Linked DNA regions of Coturnix japonica. The protein of the gene in region 1 interacts with the protein of each later gene in a pairwise test. Links are inferred from orthologs where the notes say so. Each region holds a gene or a part of one and is shown in the gene's direction. Other genes may lie near its edges. The genes, in order: GAREM1 and GRAP2.

What was found.
Region 2: the proteins of GAREM1 (region 1) and GRAP2 interact in binary tests that used the Homo sapiens proteins (3 or more experiments, as listed by UniProt). The link is inferred for Coturnix japonica from reciprocal best matches to the Homo sapiens genes GAREM1 and GRAP2.

What each region holds. Positions count from the first base shown.
Region 1 is NC_029517.1:96,227,852-96,231,920, reverse strand, and holds the start of GAREM1 (GRB2-associated and regulator of MAPK protein 1), read left to right. Parts: upstream 1-1,269; 5' UTR 1,270-1,590; coding exon 1,591-1,711; intron 1,712-4,069.
Region 2 is NC_029516.1:45,877,541-45,880,283, reverse strand, and holds the end of GRAP2 (GRB2-related adapter protein 2), read left to right. Parts: coding exon 1-31; intron 32-416; coding exon 417-596; 3' UTR 597-2,014; downstream 2,015-2,743. UniProt on the Homo sapiens protein: Interacts with SLP-76 to regulate NF-AT activation. Binds to tyrosine-phosphorylated shc.

The sequences.
Region 1 (4,069 bases):
TGGGAGGTTGGACTCAATGATCCCCAGAGGTCTCTTCCAACCTCTATGATTCTGTGGGAGAAATGTTTCTGCCCAGGCACAAGTGCTGTGTGATGCCTGAGAGAAGCCTGTGAGGTGAGGCTGTGTCTGTCCTGAAATTAACATGGGTTGGGATCGCTTTTAAAGCCACTTCTTGACAGACCCGTGCTCCTGGTCCTAGTGAATCCCAGTCTGACCTGATCTGTTTCACCTTACGCATAAAAACCTTGGCAAAGCTAAACAAGTTAAAACCGTACTTTGGCTTTCCATATTTCAACAGCAATGCTTTTAGCTATTATATCACTTTGCACTTCAATAGCCCAATTCACTGAAGTAGTTCAAAGCATTCTGCAAACTTCATAAAAAGGAAGCAACTCTGGAAAAAAAAAATCCAGTGTCTCATATTTGTGAAGCTAGCAATTCCGGTAAGTGGAATCTAACAGCACCAGGACCGAGTTCAGAGAATGAAGGACTTTCATAGGGGTGAGAAACCCTTACCCAGACCCCTTTAAAGCAAGTTAACTTGGGTTTGTGTTACCCCCTCTGGCTTCCATAGTTGTCATTTCATCTCAGAGTATGGACAGTCTGTCTGCAGCCAAGCAGAACAAGAGCATATCTGTCTTAGCCTTCCTTGTTTTCGTGGTGCTGCTGGCAGCAGCCACATAGCACGCAGTTATGGCTGGGCCTGATACAGGGCAGGAGGAGGAAGGGGTGGGGGGGCTGCAGGCAGATAAGAAGCTGTGGGGGGTAGGAAAACATTTTATCAAAAAATATCCAGAATTGGGAGGGATCCATATGGATCACCAAGTCCAACCCCTGGTTCCACACAGAACCCCCTAAATTTCAACCCTTTGACTGAGTGTGTTGTCCAACACTCCTTGAACTCTGGCAGCTCAGTGCCATGACCCTGAGGAGCCTGTTCCAGTGCTTGACCACTCTCTGGTGAAGAACCTTTTCCTAATGCCCAGTTTGACCTTGTGGAGATCACATAAGACTCTGTAGCATCATTAACATTGGAATAGACGACTAATATCAGCTAGACCAACTGTCATCCCCACCATGCCCCCTAACCACGGCTCTCAGTGTCACGTCCACACGCTGTGGGCAGCTCCAGGTGCCCACCTGCCGCCCCTCCCCTGCACGTCGGCCGAGCGGTCGGAGGGTGGAGTGAGAGGGCCGGGCCGGGCGGCGGCACACCCCGGCGGGCGGGCAGCCCGGCACTTTCCTTTTCGGAGCGGGGAGGAGCGGCAGCTGCGCAGGCGTTGCTCGCACCCTGTTGATTAGTCAGTGCTGGGATGGCGCTTCCTGGGCCAGGCGCGGCGGCTGGCGGCCCCAGCCGATGCCGGGGGGCGGCGGGAGCAGCGGCGGCCGCTCGGCGGGCCTCCCCCTCTGCCTAGCCCGGCATGTCCCGCGGCCGTAGCCGGCGCTGAGCGCGGCGAGCTGCCTTCCCCGCTTCTCTCCCCGCTTCTCTCCCTTCCGCCGCCGTCCTGCCGGGTGGGAGCGACCCCGCCGGCTGTGCCCGCCCGGTTCCCTCCCCTCCGCGCCGCTGCCCTGTTCGGGCCAGGCGGGAAGATGGACCCCGGCTCCTCGCTGGGCTTCAGCCTGAAGGACGTGAAGTGGAGCGCGGTGGCCGTCCCCCTGGACCTGCTCGTCAGCACCTACCGCCTCCCGCAGATCGCCCGGCTGGACAGCGGTGCGTGGGGCGGGCGGCGGGGCCGCGCGGGGGTCGGGCCGCTTTCAGCCGCACCGGGGGCGGCCGCGGGGCCCCGGGGCTTCGGTCTCGGCAGTGCCGCGGGGCTCGGGCACACGGCTGTGCGAAAAGTGCCGGGGTGCGGGGGCTGCTCGCTGCCAAACCAAGTTAGAGAGGCGCGAGGTGCGAGAGAGCCGGTGCGGTGGCGCGATGCTGCAGCAGGGCCGAGGGAGGGGGAATATCGCACGGCAGAGTCGGGCGCGTCTCCTGTCACCGCTTGTTGGGAAAGCGGCGGAGCTGTGAGAACCAGGGGTGACTTGAGGAGCCTGCACGGCTCCCTGACAACTTCTTACAGCTGTTCCCTTGGGCGCCCACCTGCACGAACCGCTGTGCGTGTGCCTCCCGTCCGGGGGATGAGGAGCAGCGCTGGGCGGCGGCGGTGCCCACTGAGGAGGCAGCGCTCAGTGGATGGGCAGCGCTGGGGCTTCTCCGTAGGCTCGTACTGCTGCTTCGCTATAGCGTTGCATCGTGTCTCCCTGACACCGTCCTGCTTTCCCATCGCTGAAGGAATGCAGAGGGTAACTCAGAATTAAACGTGTCAGGGCTCTGTGCTTTGTTAGCCTATGAAGTGGCCTTGCAGTTGCTCGATGGAACTGATCGGAGCTCTCACGAAGTTTTCTGCTGCTTTGAAAAGTGAAATAGGAGCGTGGGCACTGCATGCTGCAGCTCCCCGTGTGCTAGGCAGGACCGGGGCTGGGTTACTGCTTAACTGCAGTTCCCATAACCCTGCAGCAATCTCAGCCAGTGCTTTTTGACTTTGTCCCTTGGTTTGAGGCACGCTTCCCAGCCTTAGCCCAGAGCTGCCGTGCGGGAGCAGGCTGGAGAAGGCTGCTCTGCCATTTTAGCCGCAGCTGGCTGTGCTTCGTGCTGCCAAACCTGTGTTGTCCTGCAATAGTGGCAAAGCTGCTGTGTGAAGGAGTTCCTCCTGTGGTACTACCTTCTGTCCCTGAAGCAGCCAAGATGGCCTCCAGTCACTGCACTTAAGGCTATCAATTCACTCGCGATTCCTGGCAGTGGTTCAGGCTCTAACAGGGCACATGTATTGATGACTTACTGATTTCCTTCTCCCTGTGTCAGGCTCCTTCTCAGCCTGTCTGCTGCCTCGTGAATCGCTCCCTCTGGAGGGAGCTGGGAGTTCTCTGTGGATGTTGGGAGGTGAGCAATCTTTTCCCCTCCACCCCTTTTTTGGATGTGTTTCTGGGGGTGTCTTGTGCCAGACCTGGTGAGAAGGATGTCCCAGAGACACAAGTGCTGCTGCTTTTGTGTAAGGGCTGCTCATCACCCGTGTGCACCTGAAGCACATCACTGTGTAGGTGGATGTGGGCAGTCATGCGCTCTGTGAGACCATGTCCTGGAGTGCCCAGACAGAGGCAGCTGCATGGAGCAGACAAAGGCTCTCAGGCCTGCTTTCCCTCCTTGTACAGATGCACCTTTTAACTTAAGGGACTGCAGATGGCAGACAGATCAATATTTTATAAAGAGCTCAGACGCTGTGGTCTCAGTGGTACCAAGAGGACGCTTTTCCTGTCTTCAAGGGAAGCTGTCTTGCAACAAGAGGAAGCAGGCATGAATCAGTGCATGGTGTCCAAGCTGGGAACATAGTGTGTTGACAGATGACTGGAGCAACTCCTGTCCTGGGAGCTCACCCTGTGTGCCTGTCTTCATCCCGCAAAGCTGCCAAGTAGAGCTCTGTCAGAATTTCTTCATGTGGTAGTGAAGGAAGTGCAAAATCTGTTCCAGATGTGTGTAATCCTATGCTACAGGCAGATAGGTATAGAGTTCTCATCTCCACACTGCTGATGGTACAGCTTGCAGGTAGTCACCAGCATATCAGAGCAGTACTGGCGCGGAAGTGGCCTGTCCTGTTCCTGAAGAGCTGAACTCCTGTTGGGGGTGGTGGGAGCTGAGTGCACTGCACGTGGTGGTTGATATCTGTCTTCAGGCACCTTCTGGCTTTGATAGGACAAGGGGAGACAGTTTTGAACTGAAAGAGAGGAGAGTTACATTAGGTGTTAAGAGGAAATTCCAGATTGGATAGGGTCCTGGGCAGCCTGAGCTAGTGGGTAATGCTCTTAGGTTATACACACACATATACAAGATCTCAAGTTTTTCACTGCTGCCTCACCTTCAGGCCTTGCAGTTGGAAGGGGGAGAAGGGCTGTGATGAATGTGGTTTCATGCATGGAGTTAAGATGTGCGTCTCCTGGAAGAGTGCCCTTAAGTAGTTCAGTTTGATTTCTTGACAGGATGAAGTTATGAAATATTGATGTGCACTAAATTTGATCCTCTGCAAGAAGGAAG
Region 2 (2,743 bases), on another chromosome or scaffold:
ACACACAGACCCACTGCACCAGCAGACACCGGTGGGTAGCGTACTTGCAGGGCCACACCTACCCAACTTAACGGGTCCCTTAGCAATGCCACACCTGTACAGATATTGCAAGAGAAACAGTGTATTGAACATGTTGGGGTGTATTGGAGAAGACACTTCTGAGTCTCAAGGCTCTATTGTGGCCACTTGAATCTCATTCTGTGGCACTTTGAAGGTAGGACTGGAGAGTAACATTAGCATATATATATGAGTATACTCAAAATCATTCTTAGTTAATGGAATTATTAGAAGAAGGAACTTAGCATCAGCTCACCACAGTAGGTATCTGGGGCATTGTAAGAAGGCCTGAGCTCATTGAAGAGTCCGGATCAAGCATGTAATTCGTTGTTTCCTGCTCATCTCTTTCTCCTTCCCAGCGTATACTGTGGGTCCGTGCCTTGTATGACTTCGATGCTATGGAGCACGATGAGCTGGGCTTCCGCAGTGGAGACATCGTGGAAGTCCTCGACAGCTCCAATCCATCATGGTGGAAAGGACGTCTGCGTGGGGAACTGGGTCTCTTCCCTGCCAACTATGTCACACCGGTGCTACTGTGAGGCTGCATTTGTGCCCCAGAGGTCCATATCAGAGCTGCTCGTCTGACATGACAGGGACAGAGAAGCAGTGTATCTTCCCATGTTCCCAGGGCATTTGGTGGTTTTGGTTTTGTCTTAATTTATTGGCAATTGATCTTCTGAGATGCTGGTGAGAAAGAGAACCCTCTGAAGGATTTTCCCCCCTGTTTTGCATATTCATGACTGGGAGGGGAGCAAGAATGCTGGCCTGTTAATTGAAATCTTGCTGGATCCTCCCTGCCCCATCATTCCTTTGGCTAAGTATTGATAACTTGCTGCAGTTAAGCTTGTTCTGTGGAAATTCAACTCAGAGAAGTCAGGCTTCAATATCTGGGTAGAACCTACCCCCTTTTTTTTCTTTCTTTTTTTTTTTTTTTTAATCTGGTTGCATTCATAGTCCCTTCAGGCTCTGTTTCACCTCTTTCAGAGGAAGGACAAGTGCCCAGGTGAATAAAATGATGACTGATAATCCCATTTCCTTTAGGCAGGGATGAAAAGCCCTTAAGCTGAGGTGCAAGGCAACCATGACTTTTATAAATAGTTTTTGGCTTGCACCTCTAGCACTTTCTGTGGACTTCGGCTGTGTGGATACCAGGTGAAAGGCTGAAATCCTCTAAGTTTATGTACAAACAACCTGGTGGTGAAGATATGGGAGGGTAAGAAGCTAATTTCAGTGCTTCTACAGACAGCCCTGCTCTCCTGTACTTCCATCTGCACCCTATAGCAACAATTTGTCTCATTTTCAAGCTGCTTTCCAAGGCACCTGTGCATCTTTGTAGATGTCCTGGTTAGAGCAGATCAAGCCCTTCAGCTAAATGAATATCATCTGGATTGGATAACAGTGGGCGAGCCTTACTGGTTCCTTTTTACAACTGAACTGGGGAGGGGCTGGGAAGAAGAGATTTTTCTGGTTTGGTGCCAGAATTTTTGTCCCTGCGAAGGTGGGGTGTTTTGGATCACTGCATACACAGCTCTGACTTGCCTCATGCGAATCACTGAGCTGTTACTTTACAGTATGCAGGGAATAAAGTTGCGGCCATTGAATAGTCTGTTCCAGTTTCTTTCACATGAAATAAGGTAAATGAATAGGATTTCAAATCGTGGCTGAGTGAATGCCAAGACGTGATACAAATATACTGCAAATGAATATTAAAAATGATCCAAAAGAGGCACTGCTGCATAACCACTGCTCACACAAGTTTATATTAAACAAGCTGCCTGATTTTTTCACAACATGTGGGACCTCAGCAGTCAGCAAGGAAGTGGTGATTTATCATTCTTGGGAAAGAAAGAAAAGGCAAGTGAAAAATTCTAAAAACAAATTAGGCTCGGCAAGAAAAATGTTCTTATCTTTTGTTAGTCCCAGAGGGAGGAAAAAAAAAAAAAAAAAAAAAAAAAAAGATCCAGGAAACAGGTTTCTGGTGCAGCCCAATTCAATGTTACTGGCCTAAATTAAGCTGCTACCTAGACAGGGTATTAGCAGAAAGGACCTACTGTCAAGGGTTTGAGAGAGCTCCACCAAAAGCAGATTATTAATGGTCAAAGTAAAATGAGAATAATTAACATATAAGCTCTCAATAGAATAGAAATCTTTGAAAGGCACATTAAGAGCTAATCTCCATTGGCTACCAGGGTAGTTCGGGAAATGGAGACAGAGCACACAACTCCCTGGGCTGGACGTGGCCTTGTTCTGATGCAAGGGCTCTGTTCCTGGCCATTAGCATCTTGCCTTTAAAGTGATGTCCATGTGGCTTGGTTTGGAACAAGCTACCTCACTAACAGGTATGTATCATCAGTGACTCTACAGGTTGAAGTGTTTTGTTTTAATTCACTCTTTTTATTTTTTCCTCCTTCTTTTTAACTAATGTCAAATATGGAAGACAGGGGGTTAACATTTGATGAGAGAGTGTGAAAACCCAAAGCAAAGATGGAACCAAAGAGGATAAAAAAAAACACCTGTCAAAGCAGAAGAGGGATAAGAATGATTATTCTTTCATATTCAGGTCTGGCTGAAACAGGAAAATGGTATGTTCACCCCTATTCCCACTGCATCAAATCATCTTTCAGTCAGTTCTTTTCTCTAGTTACTTTTAAAATTGGAAGTAGTGCCTCCTTTTCCTTTCCTCGGC